Alligator mississippiensis: one gene and its partners. The main gene of each other region encodes a partner of the protein of the gene in region 2 in a complex. Links are inferred from orthologs where the notes say so. Each region holds a gene or a part of one and is shown on either strand. Other genes may lie near its edges.

Region 1 (7,562 bases), on a different chromosome or scaffold from region 2:
TTCAATGCCCACCATTGTTTCCTGCTGCTCCAACCAGGTGGGGGGAGGGCAGACTCACTGCAAAGCAGCTCCACCTGGTCCAGCCTGGGGGGGACCCACAGGTTTCACAGCCGCAGGACACTGAGCCCCTGCCATCCTCTACACAGCAACAGACCCAGGCTAGAAGACCCTGCAGCTGCTAGAGGTTGCCTGTTCTCTGCCCCAGCCCTGGAAGCCAGGAGTCCACTGCTCCCCACACCCTGGTGTAGACGGCCCAGGAAGTGCTGCAGGAGTGCTGGCACAGGCTGCAACCCCAGCAGGGCCATGAACCGGCTTCTCCCAGGCAACCTCTAACCCTGCCCCCACTCAGGGCTGGGAATCACCAAGGAGGGGAGGGGTTTGGAAAGCCTTTATTGTTCACAGCTTGGGAATCTAAAATCCTGCCTGGGGGCAGGACGGGCAGGGCCCAGGGAGCCAGAGCTGCATCCGGTTCCTGGCAGGTGTTGGTGGAGGCCTGAGTCCCAGCCCAGCGCACGTGGGCACCAGTCCAGGTGATGCTGCAGGTACTTCGGTGAAGGGGGCTCCGGCTGGCTCCTGGCTCAGGTAATCCTGCCGGGGGGCACGGGGTAGCCTAGGTCTGCAGGAACTGGGGCTGCACACGGGCCACTTTGCGGAACTCCTTGGTATGCGTCCGGGGACACTGCATCTCACACCAGCTGATGGGCACCAGCCGTGCCCCTAGGGACCAGTGCAGTGTCACCGAGAGCCCAGGAGAGCTCCTCCTGTTTCCCCATGCAGCCTGGGGAGCAGGGGACACAGCTCAGCCCACCCCAGCCACTGAAGGGGCCTATGCTGCTGGAGCCGCAGTCCCGCTCATACCTGCCTCGCCGTGGGCCACCACCACGCCCAGCTCGTTCTCGGCCGTGCTCAGCAGGTAGTTGGACTGCACGTCACCCAGCGAGATCTGCTCCGGTGGTCAAGGAAAGGGCTCTGGCCTGCAAGGTTATGTGCTGGGCGAGCAGGACACCCCCCCACCCGTGAGAGAGGGAAGTCCCACCAGGCCCTGTTGCCTCCTCGCGCACCCCAGTGAGGGCAGGATACCACCTTAGCCAGAACGATGTCCCCTGGGCGGAAACTCTTGTAAACCTCCACCTGCCGCAGAGCATGGGCTGGTTAGGGGGTGGGGGAGGCCACCGGCTCCTGGGGTGAGTACCAGGAGCCATGGGGGAGGCTGCTGAGCCCCAGGACCTGACAGCAGCCCCAGGCAGTCCAGGCCTCCACAGGAATAGACCCTCCCCCCTTCACTGGACCCCACCTCCCCCCAGAGGGATGCAAGCCATGGCTGGGACCCTCTGGGTCAGCAACACCCTTTTCCCCCCGGCCATCCTTGTGGCTGCGGTGAGAGGAGGGGCAGATGCCAGTTGTCATACGCTGCCAGCACAGGCAGGACACCACTGACCTTGTCCCGCTCCGTGGCTCGGATGTCTTCTTTCCTGTAAGGGGAGATGGGGAGCTTAACACTGGGAGTGCAGCCTGCTCCGCCCCTAGAGCCGCAGGCAGCGCTGCCCACCTGGGCTTGCCTGTGGGACCTCGCTGCAGGCCCCCGGGTGCATGTGAGGCTGGGCCTGGGTGTGGGGGGAAGGAGAGATGGAGACCCCAGAGCCGCCAAGCTGGGCCAGCTGCCTTGGAAGGGGCAGGGCAAGGGGTGGGGAGTCCTGACCCAGGCCAGGGCCTACCGGATGGTGCCGCGGAAAGCTGACTTGAGGGGCGTGGAGCCAACGTACAGGATGTGCACCTTGGCGAAGCGGGAGTTAATACTGCACACCTGCAGGGAGACAGGGCCCGGCCCACGGCTGGGTCAGCAGAGCCTGGACCTTGGTGCAGGACCTGCCCCTGCACCAGTGCATCAGCCCAGCCCAGCACGGCACCGCCACCCCGTCGCCCATCAGCCTCTGGACCAGAGCGACCCAGCGCCTGGGCACTGGCAGAGAAGCCAGCTCTTCCCCGTGCAAAGCCTCTGCCCCAAGCCAACGGCTCCAGCAACCCCAGCTCCAGAGATTAAGGAGCCCAGCATCCTTCCTGCCACCCCAGTCCTCCCAGCCACCAGTGCGAGCGGATCAGTTACCGCCCTGTGACCCCCAGCAGGGCACTGGGAGCCCACAGCCCCGTGGCTGGCTACGGGGGCAGCCCTCGGTGGGAAGCAGGGGCTCCCCGGGACCCAGACGGATCCGGGGCTGAACCACACGGCTCCTGCACCAGCCCGTGACGGGGAGACGGGCACGGGGGCTGCCCACCCGCAGCACGGGGCAAGCCCAGCCCCACCTGCCCCCCACCCAAGCGGGCTGGGCGCTCGGCTACCGTTACCTTGCAGGTGACGATGGCGCCCACGTCAGGCAGGAGCTGGGCTTCGGCGTCTCGCACCACGGACACCACGGGCAGCTGCCAGGCAGGAGGGACGTGCCCCGTGAGCTTGGAGCCGCTCGCGGAGACAGCCCCAGCGCAGCCACAGCCCATGCGGCTCCTGCACCACTCTGCACAGCCGGGCCCCCTCATCTTCAAGGCAGCCAGGAGAGAAGGCCCAGGGCCCGGCCAACCTGGAACCTCAGCTCGGCCCCCAGCACCCCCAGCTTCTCACCCCAACTCTGCCCCCCCACCCCCAGAAAGGGTCCCCGCGGCAGGCTGGGACCCGAGCCGTGCCCCCCGCTCCGCTCCGCTCCGCTCACCGGACCGCCGAGGTCGCGGGCGAGGAGAGCCCCGGCCAGCGCGGAGTGCACGTGCCCGCGCCGGGTGTAGGTGCCGCTGCCCGCGGCCGCCTCGTCCAGGCTGCACAGCCGCTCCCCTGCGGGGACGGGACGGGGGGTTAGCGAGGGGGACGCATGAAGGGCGGGCCCCGGTTGTCGGGCGGGGAGGGGGGACGACACCTACCAGGTATACAGTAGCGCACGGGCGGCGCCATGTCTGCTCCGCGCCGTCGCTACGAGAAATAAAAGCCGCCTTGCCATTGGCCTCCATCCCCCGCTCCGCTGCAAGCCGACGCACTATTGGCCCGGTCCGGCACGTGACATCCCACACGTGCAAGCGCCGCGCGGGGTCCGCCGGGACCTGCAGTTCGCACTGGAGAAGTTCCCGACGGGCCCTGCGCGCCGAGCCCCGCGCAGGCGCAATGCGAGCGGCGATGGCCCCGCGCCGCTGACAGCCGGGCCGCCGGGCCGGGATGGCGGCGGGTGAGTGAGGGGCGGGGCCTGCCGGGGGCGGGGCCAGCGCGGGGGGAGGCGCGTGTCTGCCCTTCGCACCCCCCGGGACCGCGCGCGTGGGGTCCGCCCTGCCCCCCCCGCTTCCTCCCCCCCAGCCCTGGCCCCCCAGCTCTTGCTCCCGCCAGCTCCACCCCCCAACCCCCCGCTCCAGCCCCCCCAGCCCCGTCTCCCCGCCCCCCAGCTCCACCCGCCAAGCCCCCCCTTGTCTCCCGAGCTCCAGCCCCCCCAGCCCATCCCCCCACCCCCCAGCCCCCCCTCGTCCGCCGAGCTCCAGCCCCCCCAGCCCTGTCCCCCCGCCCCCCCAAGCCCCCCCTTGTCCCCTGAGCTCACTTCTTGCCCCCTCAGCCCCTGCCCCCCCGCTCCCCCCCAGCCCTCATCCCCTGAGCTCCAGCCCCCCCTTGTCCCCCTACTTCTTGCCGCCCCCCCCCGGCCGGCTCACCCGAGCTCCTGCCCCCCCGCGCCGCGCCGCGCCGCGCGGCTCCGGTTTCGGGCGCGGCGGGCCGTGACGGGTGCCCCCGCGCAGGGCAGGGATGAGGAGCCGGCGACGCACCTTCTCGGCGGCGATGCGCCTGGCGCTGCGGTGCCTGCGGCTGGGCCGGCGGTGCCGGGGGCGGCTGGCGCGGCGCGCGGCGCAGCTGTGGAGCTACGGGCGGCTCAGCCTGCGCTCGCTGCTGTACAACTCCTTCACGGACGGCGACGTGGTGCTGGACGCCCTCTTCGAGCCCGTGTACTGGCTGGTGGACCACGTCACCCGCTGGTTCGGGGTGGTGAGTGCCGTGCGCCGGGGGGGCGGGGGGGCGGCCGGCCCAGGCCCCGGGGCTAGCGCGGGCGCTGCTCCCGCAGGCGTTCGTGGCGCTGGTGATCGTGCTGACGAGCTCCGTGGTGGCCATCGTCTACGTCTGCCTGCTGCCCCTCATCCTGCGCACCTACGCGCCCGCCTGGGTCTGCTGGCACCTCAGCTACGGCCACTGGAACCTGCTCATGATCGTCTTCCACTACTACATGGCCATCACCACCGCCCCGGGCTACCCGCCGCAGGTAGGGCGCGGGGGCTGGGGGGGCCGGGGGGGCCCGCTTCGAGCGCCGACCGCCCTTCCCTCTGCAGGCCAAGGGCGACCTCACCGGCGTCTCCATCTGCCGCAAGTGCATCGCCCCCAAGCCGGCGCGCACCCACCACTGCAGCATCTGCAACAGGTAGGGACCCGCGTCCCACAGGCCCCCCACCGCAGCACAGCGCGGTCGCCCCCCTTCCCTCCCTCCTGCAGTGGCTTCTCGCCCCAGACCCCCGGCAGGCGCTCACAGCCGTCCACTCTCCTCACAGGTGCGTGCTCAAGATGGACCATCACTGCCGTATCCTTCTGCAGCACCGGCCAGGCTGGCCCCTCTCTAGGGAGCCTGGCTCTTGGGAAAGGGTCGGGGGGTTGGGGTGCACCGAGCGCTGGGGCTGACCGTGTGGGAGGGGCAGCATAGCCCCGAGCCCTGGTGTTGCTGGGGGCTGTGTCCCAGGGCCCCTGGGGAACATGGCGCTGGAGCCAAGGGGTGTCTGGCGAGGCTGCCAGGGGCAGGGCTCAGGTGCAGACTCCAGGTCCCCGCGCACCAGGTGTAGCAGGCGCCGGATGGAGCTGCAGCTGCCTGAGACTGGGGGCAGGCGGGGGGCTGTCCCTGCCCCACTGAGTCCAAGCAGCGCCACGGCAGCCCGGCTCAGGGGTGTGGCGCGGTGCCCCCTCCTATTGTTACCCATCTTTAATCCGGGGCAGCCTGGTTGAACAACTGCGTGGGGCACTACAACCACCGCTACTTCTTCTCCTTCTGCCTCTTCATGACCATGGGCTGCATCTATTGCAGCATCAGCGGCTGGGACATGTTCCGTGAGGCCTATGCGGCCATCGAGGTGAGTGACACGACCTCGGCCTGCACGCGCTCCAGCTTTCCAGGGCAGACAGAGAGGGAGAGGCAGACATGGCCCTGGGCTTCTCTTGGCCCCGGGGCGCCTGTGCCGTGAGGCCTGTAACTGCGCCGTGTTTTCCATCCCCCCAGAGAATGAAACAGCTCGAGAAGGAGCGCCTGCAGGCAGCCGCCAACCAGGTGGGACATCCCCGCGCCCGGGGCCAGCAGGCCGGGCCTTGGCAGCTGCTTCGCATGTGCCTGCGCCTGGGCTCTGCTGCGCCTGCGGGCGCGGAGCTGCCCCAAGGGCCAAGGCCCCAGCTCGTGGCTCTTGCCTGCTGCCTGCGGGGTTCATGCCCCAGGCTGCCACGCAGCTGCTCCCTGCCCTGCTGCCCCGCTGCTTTCACCAAGTGTCCGTCTGCTCTGTGTGCGCGCGCGCGGGGCGGGGGAGGGTCCTCTTGGCTGGTCCTGGTTTCTCGGGGCGTCTGGTGGGGTTTGAGGGAGCAGAGCCGCCCCCACGGGCCTAACCAACCACCTGTCCTTCCCTGCAGACCTACTACCAGACACCGCCCCCGGCCTTCTCCTTCCGCCAGCGCGCCTTCCACAAGAGCATCGTCTACCTGTGGGTGCTGTGCAGGTAACGGGGGCGCTGGGCCCTGGGAGCAGGCAGCTCCATGCAGCCAGGCGCGCAGAGCGGGGAAGGTTGCCTGGACTCAGTGCCCTGACCCCAACCTCCACCTGCCCCCAGCTCTGTGGCCCTGGCCCTGGGGGCGCTGACACTGTGGCACGCGGCCCTTATCACCCGCGGGGAGACCAGCATCGAGAGACACATCAACAAGAAGGAGCGGCAGCGGCTGCAGAAGAAGGGCAAAGTGAGCGTAGGAGCTGGGGGGCAGGGAGCCTGGGGGGCAGGCGGCCACGGTCAGTCACCGTCACGTTCCCCGTCTCTGCTCCCGCAGGCGTTCCGGAACCCGTACAGCTTCGGCGCCTGGGACAACTGGCGGGTCTTCCTCGGAGTGGATGTGCCCAGGTGAGGGGGGCTCTAGGCCGAGCCCAAGACCCTGGTGCAGGGGGCCCAGGGCTGTGGCTTTGGGAGGCTGCAGCATTCACCATGGGCTGCATCCTTCCCAGGCACTGGCTCACCCGCGTCCTGCTGCCATCCACGCACCTGCCCCACGGCACTGGCCTGAGCTGGGACACACCCCCGTGCGTGACGCAGCGGCACACACCCCTGCTGGCCATCTGACCACCAGCGCAGACCCTCCCCAGCCTCGGTGCCCGGAGCCCTGAGGTCCAAACGCGGATGTCTGTTCTGCCCCCTCCTGCCCCTCGTGAGCTGCAGGCAGCCCCTGGGAGGGTGCACGGGGCTGCACAGGCCACGGCCCCACCAGCACCTCTGCTGCAGAGGGGGCCTTGCCTGGCCGCCCCCCTGGGTTTTTTGTGTCAAATAAAACCCGTTTTTAACCAATGCGGCCACCTCCTCGCTGTTGCCTGGTCTGGCCCAGGGGAGCCTAGCTGAACAGGCCCATGGTCCAGCTGGGCTCCGTGTGGAGCTCCGCAGAGGGGCCGGCTTGGACCTGCTGGTCTAAACACTGGTGCTTCAGCAGCCTCCGAGGAGCAAAGAAATAGGGACCTTGCCCTGGGGCGCGAACTGCAGCCAGGAAGGATGGGGAGGCAGCAGGTCGCCGCAAGGGCCACCTGACAGCCCCACCGGTCTGACGGCGCCTGCCAACACCCTGACGCTGCTGTACCAAAACACACGTGTTTATTCTGGTGGCATGTGGAGTGCGACACGTGCCTGGGCCCTGCCTGCTCCCTCCTGTGTGGCGGGGGCTCCTGGGTGCAGGGTGGGCACAGCGAAGGTGCTGCCCTCTGGTCCCGGCAGGAAGCGGGTTGGGTTAGCTTGGTGGCACTGGCGGCACGGCCGGGCCAGGCGTGGGGTGCGATTGTCAGTCGTGCAGGGGGTGGCACGGGCGGGGGCCTCACCTGCCCGGGCTGCCCAGGAGGAACCTGCCAGATAAGAGCTGTAGCAGAATTGGGCAGGCAGGACCTGGGAGGCATGGCCAGCCCAGCTTGAGGCCCGAGGCAACAAGGAGGAGCAGGGGCCAAGAGCCCTGCAGCATCCTGCTGAGACAGGATGGAGCCTGGAAAATGCACTCCAGTGCCCAGGTCGAGGCCGTGCCCCTGCTGCAGAGGAAGGCAAAACCCCCCAATCTGCACCAGTCTGAGCAGGGGGAAATCCTTTCCTGACCCAGCGCAGTGTGGGGCTGAGCCCGAGCGTGGGGGCAAGACCCTCCAGCCAGGACCCTGCGGGGTCGGTGCCAGCAGGAGCATTGGCACAGCCCAGCCCCATCCCCAGCCTGGGCTGCAGCACCCAGTGCTGCCGAGAAAGGGAAGCCACCGACACCTGTAGCAGCAGGAAGGGTAAAAGGACCTGGCCCCCTG
Region 2 (7,921 bases):
GGTAACATGCTATTAGTAAGTAAAAAGTTAAAGTATTCTGTTCCTACAAACATTTACTATTACATAGGCCCACTAACTACATGCTTAGAGCTACATATGCACAAGTCACTTGGGCTAGAGCTTTAAAACAAACATAGGAACTATTGTTCAAGAGACAACAGAAACCAAATCCTATATGCAACCTGTTAAACCCCTAATGTTAAAAAGCTCTGGATTTCAGAGTATTTCATACCTTTTCACCAGCAACAACACAAAGAGATTCAGTATCTATGCACTTTGAGTTTCTTAGGCATCTTTCTAATAACCTATTCAGCTTCACCAGCAATTCAGACTGCCTGTAGAAGACATAATATGCACATGTTTAAGTTGTGAGTTATTAATAAGGGAGAACAATGACACCATGGTCATCCTTATATCAATCCTACCTGCTGTCACTGCAGCAAAAGCCACGTACCTGCCCAGCTCAAAAGCTGGTGAAGCCATTGGAGAGAGCTCAAGATTAAAGAAAAGTATACCTTCTGTAGCCCGGTTTGGCTTTGGGGCAACAAGTTCACATGAGACTTGTCCAAGGACTCTGCAAAAGAAAATCACCCCCAGAAGCACAGGCTTCAGAATGAAGACAGAAAGAAGTTAAACACTGCACAACATACATGAGTTGTATTTTACACCTCCCAATTTTTTCAGTTTATTTTTTAAGCAAGACAGCTAAATGTATTCAAGGTAACCATTACTAGGGCACTAACAGAAACTAGGCAGTAGAGTGCTATGTGGAGTTTAAAATGTAGCTTTTATTCTCACTGTGAGCTAGAAGAATTTACCAAATTTTGTATCTTTCATATTCCCCCCCTCCACCCCCCGCATGAAAAATGGAGATACCATCTATAGGGGACTGCAAAGCTCCATTTGAGATTACTGTACAAAGTCACAAGTAGGATATTAAATATCCAAAGTTATGTTAACACTTGTTTACACATGCCTGCTTTACAACTAAATACACTGTGAAACCCCATACACCCATGAAGGGTATGTAACTGCTAGCTTCAATCCTGTAAAACCTCATGTACTGGTTTAACTTGGTATTGGCACTACCACTGATGTTTGCACTATTACACAAGGGACTTTTTGGGGGGAGACATGATCTTTAGATCCAATCCAACCAGAAATCATTTATTAGATTATTACAACCAGCCACCTGTAAATCTTGGGTACAGCTGGAGGGAAATTTGGAGAACTCATCAAATTCAAAAAGACCTGCTGCCAATCTGCGTGCCACCCTCTTCCTGCCTCTTACGTCTCCCCAGCTGGTATAAGTGAGACTCTATACTATGCTGCCAGAGGTAGCCAGGCAGACTTTGGGATAAACATTTGCTTTTGCATTTTCAAGTACAAGCAAATAAAAAGTGGGCCTGGAGACTTGCTTCTGCCCCTTTTAGCAGCAGTCTATCCACAAGGCTACTTGTAACCTGGGTAACATAGCACTTGGCAATGTAAGAGGGAGCGAGGGTGTCTCCAAGGGCTCCTATACATGTGTGCAGAGCCTGCTCCAATGCACTGGAAATCCAGCATGTCAGAGCAGGCTCGATCAATCAGGTCTGCTGGAGCGTGGAAACTGACACACTCCAGCAGCCTTCCGAGTCACGTGCATCAGCGTTGCCATGCATCTCTGCACTAAAAAATGGTGGCAGGGTGCTTTGAAATAAAACATGTCCAATGAGCTCTATTTCAAAGCGCCCAGCTGCCATTCTTTCAGCGCAGGGACACCAATACACATGACATGCAATTAGAGCAGCTTGCTAACTAAAGTTCCTGGCACTGCATCCCACAGCACATGTAAAAATGCCCCAAGTCACTGACAACTCAGATGTGATAGGGTTTTGTTTCCCCACCATGCGCTCCTCAGAGGAACCAGGAGTTGGCTACAGACATGGCTGAGGTTTGAGACTGGAGTGTGCCAGCACTCTTGCTGGGACTTAAAGCCAGAAGGTCCTAGCTAAGAGGGTCTCATCCTGCTAAAAGTCAGACTGACTGATGTATTTGGGTCAAGAAGGAATTTCCCCCCAGGGTCAGGCTGGTATGGATGGAGGGGCCTCCTGCCTTCATCTGTAGCAGGGCCTCTCCAGGGGATCTCCCAGCACACGTTAACCACCTCGGCCGCAGCAGGATGCAAATAATTCTTCTTATTTACTTTATATTTATCACCGTAACTCAGCACTAAGTGAGAACTGGGTCAAAGCTGCAGCATTTCTTTATTCAAGGCAGGCAGACATAAGAAAGTGCTGACAGCAAACCCAGAAGTCAGTCAAGACTCCCTTGAGAGTGACTCAGGTTTCACCCATCCTGCATCAGTGAGCTGCCTCAAAAATCATTGTACATTTTGAACGCTTATTATTCTTGATTGTACATAGTACAAGGGCTGGAAGGATGATACGAAGTGGGCAACACTGGGCAGAGCCCGCCCTACTACAGAAGGGGTTGGGGCTGGAGCTGCCCTCAGGAACCCCCTCGCAGCCCTGCGCGCACGCGCAGTACCAGGCAGGCGCGCCCGAGGCACCGCGCATGCGCCCCCCGTGTTCCCAGGCCCGAACAGCTGCGCGCGGCCCTACAGCCGCGGCTCCCGTCACTGAGGGAGGCTGCACGCGGCCCCAGCTGCCCCAGCCTCGTGCGCCCCACTGCTCATGCACCTCCTTGCGCCTCCCCCAGCCCGGCGCTACCTGGTCTTCCCCAGCTCCACGACGCAGCAGCCATAGTCGGTGCCGAAAGAAACGCGCACATTGCGGTAGTCGTAGCTCTGCCGCCCGTCCAGGCGCTGCAAGGCCGAGAGTGGAATCAGCGGGGAGAAAAGTGGGGGGAAAAGACGGGAAAGCGGGGGGCTGGTCTCACACCTTCCTCTCCTCGATGGCGCGCAGCAAGAAGCGCTTCTCGCAGTTGGACAGCGGCGTCTCCTTCATGGTGGCGCGACTTACCAGTCTTCCAGTCGCACCCTGTCACGTCATCAGCCGTACGACAGATACCACTGCGCAGGCGCCGGCAGGACCCGCGCCTTCTTTTTGATTGGGCGGGGGGGTGGCGGCCGCGCCGCCGCTTTTAAAACACAGGAGACGTTTCACCCTCCCACTGAGTTGTAGAAGGGGCGACGCTAAGGGTTGTGTGCTCCCGCCACCCCCCGGGCTGGGGCGGAGCCTGTTCTCTGCGGGGCGGGGCCCGTGGGCGAGGGGCTTGTTCAGGAGAGTAGCGAAACGCTGGCACAGGTCGTGGCCTCTTGAGTCCTTGGAGGTTTTGAAGCCCTGGCTCAGGATGATCTAGTTGGGGATGGTCCTGCTTCGAGCAGGGGGTTGGGCTCGGTGCCCTCCTGGGGTCCCTCCCAACCGGCATTTTCTATGATGACAAAAAAAATGTGATACTTGCTGTCCTGATGTGGGCATGCCCGCCTCTGTGTCAGTTATATTAGTGAGGAGAGCTGGGCTATCCCTGTCCATGGCAGCACCCTGCCGATTCACATTGCCTGTTGACATAGCAGGTTTAACTCCTGAGTGTTAGTTCAGGAGTCAGGTCTCCAGGTTGTAGCCATATTGGTATAGAGGAAAAGGCAATCAGAACTCTACTCGAGGTGATATCTTTTGTTAGACCAACAAGATTTTTGCAAAAAAAAAAAAAAGCTTTAATTGCAAGCTTCCGGGCACAAACACCCACATCAGGCATTGGAGAAGATTGTGAAAGTTCTGGGTAGAAATGAAAGTTCATATTTCATAGGATTTCACAGAGGAGTCAAAACTCTGGGCAGTCAGTTCATCGCTTAGGAGTTTTCCATCTGTTGACTCCTCTGTGAAATCCTAGGAAATACAAACTTTCATTGCTACCCAGGAGAACTTTTACAATCTTCTCCAATGCCTGATGTGGGCGTTTTGTGTTTAGTAAGGATTAAAGGATTAAGTGGCTTGCAATTTTTCTGCAAACATCTTGTTGGTCTAATAAAAGATATCTTCTCTACTATGAGTCCTGATTGCCTTAATTCAGGAGGATGCTTCAGGAACTGCCCAGGATATGGCAGCTGGACAGCCCAAGGAGGACACATTGCTCCTGCTGTTGGAGAAACGAGGGCTCCAGTTGTTTCCCCCCACCCCCGGTCAGCTGTGCCTGGGCAGGGGGGGCAACACTTGAGAACCTGAATTGCACAAGGAAGCACCACAGTGAACATGAGCTGCATGGCAATCCAGGACTTCACACCACTTCTACTCCTCTCTGCTGAGCCAGGCAAGCAGCTCCAGGAATAGCTGGTTAAGCTGCCTCTTGCAGTGATTCAGCTGCATGCCTACTTACCTTAAGATACATCCAGAGAGCCAGGTGGATCCTGAGCTGCTGCTGTTAACGTAGTTGCCTTTAACCCTTTTGGCAAGTGTCAGGCTTCGTGCAAAATTTTTTGTCCTTTTCTGCAAGGGGCTGCCATATTAATTAATGGTGGTCCTGTCATAACTTGTATTATAAATAAAACCAAAACCTTCTATCTGTAATTTTTCTTCAGCCTTAGAAACGTTTGCTAGTAAACCTGCCTCTTCTAACCCTTAATCTTCTGTCTTTACTTCTGAAAATTGGTTCTAAAAACTGTATAAATTAAATGTGTATTTGGAATAACTCATTTACCAGACCCTCAAGATATTTTTGGAATAAGTAATGGTTATGTAACCAAGCATTTGCCCTGTGCACTGATGGAGCCCATCCTAAAGGCTGATCAAACTGGCATCTCCATGCAGCTCCTGCAGCTACTAAAATGAAAAAGCCAACACAGTATAACCTTAGGAATATTACAGTAGTCACCCTCAAGACAGCTATGCAGACTTTAGAGGAAGCAAATCCTATAGCCCTTGAAAAATACATACATGTGTGGGGGAAAAGGATGTGTTACTGATTTGGGTTTATAATTAATTAGTTATAAATCCAAAATGGTTGGGTTTATTAATACCCATTATCAATACTCCATTAATACTCTTATCCTTATACTGCTAAAATAATTTGTTAAAAACAATAGGAGCTGCTCCACCTGCATAATTGCACAGACCCCTGGTGTCTCTCACTAGTGCAGGTGCACTGATAAAGATTTTTTTGGCTGATGCCAATTATTTACCAGCCATATCAGCTGATACTGATCTGATAGCCAATATGCAGCCTGGCAGCTTGGAGAGCAGCATCTGGCCAGTAAGTCTAGGGGGGGAGGGTTGTGTGAGGGCAGATCGAGGCCCCTACAGCGAGGGAGAAAGTGCAACAGGGCCTGAGGCAGGTGCTGCCTGGCCAGGGTGGGGTACAAGATGGAGCCACAGGTAGCTTATCCAGGCAGGAGGAGAGCAGCTCCCACCACTGTTCGCACCCTCAGAGGAAACATGGGGGGCATGTCAACCCCAGAATTCCCTGCTGCCTGCCTTGCCCCTGCCCACCCTGCCCACAGCTCCTGCCTAGCCCCTTCCGCTGGGAAGAGGCCAGCACAGACAGCCCCCAGCATCAATCCTGCAGTGGGCATCCTGCCCTCAACCCGCACACAAATCCAGGAGGCACATGCCCCTATACCTCCCCCAGGGGTGCATGCAGCAGTGGGACCTGCACCCCCTGGATGAGCCGCCCATGGCTCTGTCCTGTGTTCTGCCCAAGCTGGGCAGTGCCTGCCCCTGCCCTATTCCCTCCCTTGCTGTGGGGGCCTCAATCTGCCTATGCCCTTTCCCCTACAGACTTACCAGCTGGATGCTACTCTCCAAGCTGCCAGGCTGCATTCTTGACTGTGCACATGCGTGCAGTTGCACGCATGCATGGGGCATTTATTGGTGACATCAGCCACATCAGCCAAAAAAAGCTGATTGCCAATAACATAAATTTTCCTTTTATCAGTGCTGATCTATCAGTGCACCTCTACTCACTAGCATAAATGTAAGTAGGTAACACCAGGCTACTGTATTTTTTCTCATACAGCACACCCTCATTTATAGTATTCACCTTTGAAGGGGAACCTGAAGAAGAAAAATTTGTTGAAAGAGGTAAGAGTGGCAGCAGCTTGGGAGCTGGGACTGCTGCCAGCCCTGCATGCTGGTTGGGTCTGTGGACTGACCTAATGCACTGGATCTTGGGCCGAAAGTCCGACTCCACATGCTTGCTAGAACTAGTATACAGTCCCAGGCAGTACATGGGGTCAGACTTAATGTGTGGCCCTGGAGCCAGCATATGGCTTCAAACCCAGTATGGGGACTTGGCATACTGGGTCCATTCTGGCACATTGTTCTGGACCCAGCACACAGGATCAGATCTGGCATGTTGCGTCTGGGCCCATGTGCTGGGTTGGACTTGGTGTACCAAGTCTGGCTGCATACCAACCCCAAGTGCCTGTCTGATCTGGTGTGTGGTTAGAGAGGGAAGTTCCTTGTGGGTCTGGAAATGTTATAGTAGGGGAGGTAGTGGTGAGAGGTTCCCAACATTCTACCTCCCCTTCTCCAAATTTTCAGGCCCATGGGCATCCCTTTTCTTTGCATATAAGGTACACCCCAATTTTCCTCAGCTGTTTTTTTGGGAGAAGGGGTGGGTTATATGCAAGAAAATATGGTATTTTCCTACAGAAGCAAATATCTGTAAATTATAGTGGAGTTGCACCTTATACATGCGTATTTCTGAATTAGTTGTCTATATGGCGCAACTCTGCCCTGCCTTCTGTCTGACTTCAGACTAACACAGCTAACAACCTCTCTTTATCGCTAGTTAGTTCAGATCTTTTACTGCAGAGATGTGGTATTTTTCTGTTCTAAGCATTTATAATGGTTTTTGGTCCCTTTCTTTAGGTTGAGGCTGCTACCCTAAGTTTGTATTCTTGTTTAAAGGCCAGCAGTATACATGCACCTGTTTGCCTTTGGAAATTCACAACTTGCCTTCCTTTCTCGTGAGCAAATAAAGCAAGTGTTACTGGCATTTTTTTCCTCCCTTGCTCCTCCTTTTTCCTGTATGTAAACAGCAGTTACTTGACAACAGCTGCTTTGGAGAAATATTTGAAAGTGCTAGATGAGGTATTTAATTACTACAAAAAACTGCTCTAAAATGTAATACAAAGGGAGCCTAGTTATTAGTATAGTTTTTCCAAGAAGCACTTTATCAAAAGACAAACATTCCTTCTCAACAAAAGGTAGAACATATTGACAGGTGATCTTTACATACTAGTGTTTCTACCCTTTATTCCTCTCTTGTGCTTGTAGACTACGACAAAGATCTTGTAAAGATCTTTTGCTGCTATTGTAGCTCCTTTCTACCAGGTTTTGTGAATTTTTTTTTAATGTCCCAGCTTTAGCACTGGAACACCCTTCATCTTTAACTCCTGTTTAGCTCCATGCATCACCCTGAACAGCCTTCTGCTTTTAATGTTGTTTTAATTAGACCATTCTCCCCACTGATTCTGCGATACATCGGTACAAAAAAAATCCATGTGCCTAAAACACTAGCTCCTATTAAGCTAAAGTATGCTGCCTCAGCTTTCAGATTCAAGTTCACATAAACTGCTTATTCAACTGGATTTTTTACACTTTTCTCACACTTAAATCTCCTCTCCAGAAAAGGATGGCTCTCTAATGCTAATGTTGGCCTTGCATGGTGGTCTCTAATATAGTAGGACAAAGGCATTAAAGTTGAAACGTACATCTTCACATTTTTCATCGGTGCACCATATGATGGTATCTATATGAGTGTCTATTACCAGGATCCCAATCTAACTTAAACCTTTCCCGTCCTTACTTCAACCTTTTGAACCACCTCCTATTTTCTTTTGGTTGTTCTTTTAGATGGGTACAGCTATTGCATAGATGACATACCCAATAATGGATTTGGATTTTATGTGCTTTCAGTCCATGAAAAACCTACTGGTGGACATCCGGACTCCCATAAAACAATGCAGAGATTGGGAACA
Region 3 (6,723 bases), on a different chromosome or scaffold from region 2:
ACAAGCAAGCCCGTTTGGGACCACCCATCAATTTTTGGGGAGGGGTGGGACTTCAAGTGCCATTTAGCCAATCAGAGGTGTGCCCCCCACCACAAAAATGGCACCCGATGTCTTGCTGGGACAGTGAATTTGGAGGCAACCACTGTGAATTAGGTAGGTCCCTAATCATAAGCTGTTCAAACCTGCCGTTTCATAGCCAAGATGAAATTTGTTGCTCTCAATCCAGATCCAAATGCAGAGAGGTATCTACAACACTAAGCAGAGGTTAGTATACAAACCAAACAGAGTGATCCCTGTGCTTCAAGGCTGCAAATAAATGGGAAGTGACACAAACTGCCATCTGAACTACACCAGAAGTGTGAGTAAGGAAGGACATTTTAGCCTGAAATGCTGGTGATCAGGGACTTTCCAAAGGCCTTGATTTCACTGAAATATTCCCACCAAAAGACTTACCGAATAGGAACAGGTGACTTAAGACTCAAAAACAGATCACAGCCAGAATGAGGTAAAGTTCACAGTAAAAAGTACAATTTATTATATTAAAAAAATATCTCTCTCAAGATATTACCTGGATACATTCTCTTGGGTGGGGGCATACAAATATCTTATTCATGAACAGCATTTTGCCAAGATACGGTGCTACCTGGTGCTCAAGTTTTAGTTACAAAGTCTAAACTCAACAGCCAAACCATCATCCAGTCCAGTCCATCAGTAACACAGCTCCACGTTAACATGTGTCCAAGGGCCAAAAGGTCACAATGAAAGCATATTCAACACAAAGGATCTTGTTAATAATTCCTGTAAGGATAATTAACTGAGCTGTCTTGTTCATTGGTATGGCCAATGTGGAATTAATAAGCAAAGAACCAATACTAGCAAGAACTGCAGCCAGAGAGGGAGAGCAGTCAGTCCTTGATTATAAAAAATGAGCAAAATCACAGTAGCGTCCGCCAGTTTGACTTCCACAAATTTCAGAGCCAAAAACACAATTTTCAGGAAAGAAATACAATTGTCTGGGGAAGAGCGAAGGTCCAATCAAAAGTTACAAGAAAAATTGTAGAAAAGAAACATTTGACATCATGTAACCAAACAGATTTTCTGCTGACCAGACAGCACTACTTGTTCTCCAGCAACCAGCTAAAGAGTTCCCTTTAAAATTTAAGACCAGGGAAGCCACAGCACATGTTGAATGCGAGTTGGCACCAGACTACTGAATGCAGTGGACTCCTACCAACAAAAAGATGGCGCCGCTTTGAACTTCAAGTGGAAACACCAGCAAAGAAAGTCTGCCATTCTCCAGGGCATCTCCTGGACTGCAACAGGCATGAAGAGGGGCAGGAACCATTCGGGGCCAAACATGCTTGAAAACCCATGCAGGGGCACAGGCAGCTGCGAGACGAATGGCGTCCGGTGCGGGCAGGGGTGGCTGGGAAGGCGGGGTCTGTGCCAAGTCCTGGTACCGGGTGGGCCTCGGGCTGCAACACGCAGGGCCGGCGCCTTCCCGCACGGTCTGTCCCCGTCGTCACCGACGTGGGCTCCAGGCGCCGGCGCGGGGTGCGCCCTCAGGCGGTGGCTGCGGGCGGGCTGTGGCTGCCCCCGCCCCCGGCGGCGCTGCGGGCCCGGCGGCGGGCGGCGCGGAGCAGGCAGTGCCGCAGCAGCGGGTAGAGGCGGCGGCAGCCGTCGAGGCCGAGGCGCACCGCCTGGGCCCAGCTCTCGGGCGCGCCGCCCTGGCCGCCGCCCAGCAGCGCCGACACCTGGTCGAGGGCGGGCAGCAGCGCCACGGTGAGGCGGGCGGCGGCGTCGCGCTCCTCGCGCTCGCTGGGCTGCAGGCGCCAGGCGGGCGGGTCGGCGGCGGAGGGGGCGGGCGGCCGGCTGAGCGCGCAGGCCACCACCAGGTCGTGCATCTCCACGCCCGCGTCGGCCAGGGCCAGGGCGGCAGCACTGACGGCGGCGGCGAGCGCGGAGCCGCCGTCCTGCAGCAGCAGCGCCGCCACCTCCAGCTGCGCGCGCGGGTAGCGGCCCAGGCGCACGGCCGGCTCCAGCGCCTCGCGCAGCGCCAGCGCCAGCTCCCGGTCTCGCCCGCCCGCCGCCGGGCCGGGCCGCAGGCGCGCGCCGCGCCGGGAGAAGGGCGCTCGGCGGAAGTCGCAGAGCAGCCGCCCCCGCGCCGCCGGCTCCGCGCCGCCCGCCTCCCGCGGGCCGTACACGGCGCACAGCACCTTGGTGCCGCCGCGCAGCTCCACGTAGGCCGAGCCCTTGGCCTGGCTCAGCAGCCCCGCGCGCGCGAACAGCGGCCGCGGCGCCGCCGGGTCCCGGCCCGGCCCCGCCGCCTCCTCGGCCTCCTCCGGCTCCGGCTCCTCGGCCGCGTACAGCAGCGGCGACTGCGACTCCTCCGGGCCCGGCACGCGCCGGTGGTCCAGCGGCATGGCCCCGGCCACCCGATCCCGATAGGCCCAGCCGCTCACCCGCCTACACGGAGCGCCCCCTGCAGGCCCGGAGCGCGGCCGGGGCCTGGCCTGCGCGCCCCGCCCCCAGCGCGGCTCCAGCCACTCAGCGCCCGGCCCCGCGCTCAGGGCGCTCCGCCCCCAGCCCGGCCCCGACCCTGGCCCCGCGGAGCGAGCGAGCATGGCGGGGAGCGGGGCCCGACCGGCCCCGGCCTGCGCCCTCGCCCGCTGCTCCCCTGCAGCGACGGGCGGCCCCGCGCCCCTCCAGGGGAAGCACCTGTTAGACCCACGGCGCCGCAGGGCGCACAGTCCCATTCTTGGCAAAGCCATAACCCCCTCTAACCACAGACTGAACATCTGCCTTCCCAGCACACCCCCACTTCTTCCACCCTAACAAAACTGCAAACCCTGGCCTGGTTCAATGACAAATTAACAGGGCACACATTGCAGATGGCCTTTATTAACACTGAACCTATTCCTCATGTTCCCATACAGGTAGGTCTGCTCAGCTAAGGCAGTGAGGTACACCTACATCACATTAATTTAAATACACTATTACTGTTGTCAATAAAGTGAGTAAAGGGCTTCCATGTTATCTACAGAGAGGTCAGGGAGTTGGGTGACAGGTTGATTCCAGCAACTTTCCAGAGGTGGGCTCCTGCCTCCAGTGGTTACAAGGGGACAGGAGTTTGTGTGCAGACTCTTGGCTTTGATGCGTTCTGTGGCTGACAGTATTTATTACTAATATTTAGCACATCATAACAGTGCTCTGAAGACTTTACAAACTGCTAGTGCAATCCTTACTGCAGGCCTTGCAGAGAGGCCAGCATTATCCTCACTTTACAGACAAGGAACAGGCTTCCCAGACATACAACAAGATTGGAGCTGGCATTACAACTTCTAAGCCCCTGTCTCTCTCTCTTCCTTGTTTAGATCTCTAACCCATGATGCTTCTTTTAGTTTGTTAATGCCTCAGCGAGGGGATTCAGAAGGAATGATGTGCAGCGTCTTTGTCTCCAGCGATGTCGCTAGAGTGAATGGGAGCCCGGTGACCAGGCTGATGAGAAAAGGAGAGAGCTGACAGCATTCGCTTCTTACCTGTGCAACGAGCCAGCACAGGGACATGGAATCAGTTCTTCAGCTCGCCAAGGCAGAGCTCAGCAAAGTCCGTGGCCAGCTTCAGAACCTCCTGCAGGCACCCAACATTTTTGCCTGTTGCCTGGGCTGAGACATCTTTCCCACCACCTTTGCCATCCATCAGTGTTGACACTTCCTGCACCCACTGGTTGGCCTTCAGGCCCTTGTTGGCTGCTTCCTGGAAAAGAAGAGGGCAGGGTTTAGGTTATTACAACACAACAGCATTTGCTGCTGGAGGAAGATGCCTAGATGAACACTACTTCAAGTAACTGTATCTGATGGAAGAACAAAGCTCTACCTCCTTGGCAGTACAGTACTTAACTTGCTTTCTTGTATGGCTCCAAATGTAATTTAGCTGAGACACAGCTACGCTAATGCAACAACTACTACCAGTATCCCAGTTAGACGTGATAATGAGAGACAGAGGACACATGGAAGCCCCATTGCTGACTGCCTGAGCATAAGCTGTACAGGAAATCTGCAGGTCCTACTGCTAGGAAGAGCTCTTAAGCTCAGCCTGAAATGCTTTGGGCAGACACACCCAAAGGGCTCTGGAAAAGTGTTACCTGAGGTACTTGGCATAAGCAGGTGATCTTGCCAGCTTCATTATCTACTGCGAAAAGCATGGCAGCAGTCTGAGGAGAATGAGTCTTGAATAGCTTCAGAGATTCATTCAAGGCCTGTAGAAGGAGATACAGAGAAAATTACACCAAGAACCAGCCGGCATCATTCATCTTTCAGCTGGCCTGGCAACACATGCTGCAAATCCCTACACAGATTCCTTTGCTGCTAGATAGCTACAACAGTCCTGCTGATATCAGCAAACACACTCTACTCCCAGGCAGGCATTCTGAGTCAGTATCTTCTGTACCTCGCTTTTGCAGCAGTCTGCATCTCTGCAGTGCTTGGTTTCTGTTGGGTGCAGTAAAGCTGCATGTACCCTTCTTGAGGCTGGCTGTGGAGCTGGCATCAGAGGAAGAGCAGAAGCAGCTTGCTTGCCTGGTCACACCAGACTCAATGCCTGGAGATCTGAGCTTCTGAAGTCACATAGAGACATGGCTCCCTAGCTTCACTCATGTTCCCTGTCCAGCAGCAGGACTGGAGCAGGAGAATGCTCAGTGCCTGATTTGTTTCCCATCTTGGGTTGTTTGGGGGCCAACAAATGTATGGCTCTGCAACCATAAAGCAAGTGAAAATGATCTGCAAGCAAGTGATACATTAGGAAGGGGAAGGGACAGCAGCTTAGGACAGAGGTGGTGTGAGCCTTTCCTTAGCAGGCTGCTGGACTGAGGTAAAGGGCAACCCATTCTGGGAGACCTGGAAACTCTGCTGTGCCTGCTGCTACTCTCTACTTAAGAGCAGCTGGAGTCAGCAGGGATGGAGGTCAGAGTGCAAATGCTACAAGGATACAAAAGTCTTTCCCACAGCACACCTAGACTAATGGACTAGGTATAGGCAAGTCCTTGAGTGCCAGGCACCCACTATTTGCAAAAGATTTGACACTTCATATCTCACATAGAAAGACCTGCTGTATTTAGAGAGCTCCTGAGACAGGCTAATTAGAGGTCATTTGATGATGCCTCTTAGGGGACATATTCACGGCTCCACCTGTACAGCTGGCTGCTGCAGTCCCCAGGGGTCACGCAGCCCACTGTTGCAATCCACATGCTGTGCGCTGCTGTCATCCCTTAGAGGTGCAGGCAATTGGCTACTGCGCAAAGAATGTGCCAACAGCTCAATGCAGAGATGCTGCTGGGCCTGCTGCTGGGAACACTGAAGATGCAGCATCTGTACCAACTGCAGTAATGGTCCCCAAAACAAAATAGCAATTTTCCCCTCCCACACAGACATGAACAGCATTTAGATACCATGGAGATGAGAACCATGTAAGAGGGTGAGTGGGAGCCTATAAACAAAACAGGATCAGCTGGGAGTTTGCCCATGCAGAAATTTAAATTGGGGCATTACAACTTGATGGTTAGTCTACAGTATCATTAATTGACACTGTTCATTTCCTATTGTTGCCTGGCAGCAGCTCATCACTGCTGGGACCAGCAAACAAGGGGGTTTACCCACAACAAGCTTCTCTAGGGGGTAGGAAACCCCCCCTTCCACCTTGACAAGAATAGACAGATTCAGCTCATGATGCGAGACAGAAGGGTAGGGACAGCACTGGTCTGTGACAAGCCCAGCTGGATGGGTTGCAGAATCCAAGAAATGGGAGCTGGAGGACAACACTTTTCTAGCACTCATTCAAGGCTCTACCTAGCTGCTGTATGGGAGCCAGTGCAAGATACACTGCATTTCTCTGCAATATCCCAGCTGACAGAGCTTCATTGCTTTTCTTGGGTAACTACCCTGCAGGCCCCACTGTTAGAAACATTTTCAGCCTGCATTTTCCCTCATCTTCTAATTCCTAGCCACCCACTTGGGTGGCCCTTACTTGAAGCAGGGATCCCCATCCTGATCCAGACACTAGAATCTGAGATGGTGAAGAAGAGAGTCTGAGGGACAAACAGAGGTGTTGCACACTTCCGGGTAGGAGGTGGCTTTGGTTAAGCCAGCAGAAAAAGTGCACAGACCTAACATGAACTAATTATGCCCTCCACGACCATCTCAAAGCCCTGGCCATGGTTGGGCACCTGCACAGCAGGCTCTGTAATACATGAGGCTGTGAAAATCCCCCCTCCATTCCAGGGGCCACAAACGGAGAGGCAGGTTTCTGAACTTTCTCAGGGAGTCCTAGACACGGGAATGGAGAGTATTGGGACTAGCTGTGTTACCTTTGCTGAAGCGCCACTCTCCATTTCCAGAATTACAAGTGGCTGGTTAGGGTGACTGTCAATGAACTGCTTGGTCTTCTCCAGCACCTGGAAGAACAAGCAGATGTTCAGACAGATGTGAACAGACACAAAAACTGTTTTTTGCACACAAGGGCTCACCAGGCAAACTGAAAGAGGTGCAACAGCTAACCTGCACCAACTTCTAGTCACTGATCACTGACCATTCTGTACAGCTGATATGGACCCAAAGGGGAAGGCCCAGGCTGCCAAAGCAGGAACAAAGTGTGGAAGAACATGATGCAGCACGTGAGATTTGAAAGGAGGCAGCACTGCTGCGTACCCCTTCCCAATAGTCACCAACT

The links.
Region 1: EXOSC9 (region 2) and EXOSC1 share a complex: the UniProt entries of both Homo sapiens proteins name them as parts of the RNA exosome core complex. The link is inferred for Alligator mississippiensis from reciprocal best matches to the Homo sapiens genes EXOSC9 and EXOSC1.
Region 3: EXOSC9 (region 2) and EXOSC6 share a complex: the UniProt entries of both Homo sapiens proteins name them as parts of the RNA exosome core complex. The link is inferred for Alligator mississippiensis from reciprocal best matches to the Homo sapiens genes EXOSC9 and EXOSC6.

What each region holds. Positions count from the first base shown.
Region 1 is NC_081829.1:100,691,120-100,698,681, forward strand, and holds EXOSC1 (exosome complex component CSL4), read right to left. Parts: upstream 3,007-7,562; 5' UTR 2,936-3,006; coding exon 2,905-2,935; intron 2,819-2,904; coding exon 2,703-2,818; intron 2,419-2,702; coding exon 2,344-2,418; intron 1,805-2,343; coding exon 1,716-1,804; intron 1,473-1,715; coding exon 1,439-1,472; intron 1,132-1,438; coding exon 1,081-1,131; intron 944-1,080; coding exon 859-943; intron 718-858; coding exon 611-717; 3' UTR 374-610; downstream 1-373. Other genes in the region: palmitoyltransferase ZDHHC16, read left to right, coding at 3,764-4,000, 4,077-4,271, 4,339-4,427, 4,555-4,583, 4,991-5,124, 5,271-5,318, 5,669-5,754, 5,866-5,989 and 2 more; MMS19 nucleotide excision repair protein homolog, read right to left, coding at 7,100-7,127. UniProt on the Homo sapiens protein: Non-catalytic component of the RNA exosome complex which has 3'->5' exoribonuclease activity and participates in a multitude of cellular RNA processing and degradation events.
Region 2 is NC_081825.1:114,555,924-114,563,844, reverse strand, and holds the start of EXOSC9 (exosome complex component RRP45), read right to left. Parts: upstream 3,032-7,921; 5' UTR 2,949-3,031; coding exon 2,883-2,948; intron 2,807-2,882; coding exon 2,712-2,806; intron 575-2,711; coding exon 455-574; intron 336-454; coding exon 233-335; intron 1-232. UniProt on the Homo sapiens protein: Non-catalytic component of the RNA exosome complex which has 3'->5' exoribonuclease activity and participates in a multitude of cellular RNA processing and degradation events.
Region 3 is NC_081833.1:34,962,378-34,969,100, forward strand, and holds EXOSC6 (exosome complex component MTR3), read right to left. Parts: upstream 2,540-6,723; 5' UTR 2,424-2,539; coding exon 1,563-2,423; 3' UTR 507-1,562; downstream 1-506. Other genes in the region: AARS1 (alanine--tRNA ligase, cytoplasmic), read right to left, coding at 3,571-3,756, 4,145-4,258, 6,362-6,448. UniProt on the Homo sapiens protein: Non-catalytic component of the RNA exosome complex which has 3'->5' exoribonuclease activity and participates in a multitude of cellular RNA processing and degradation events.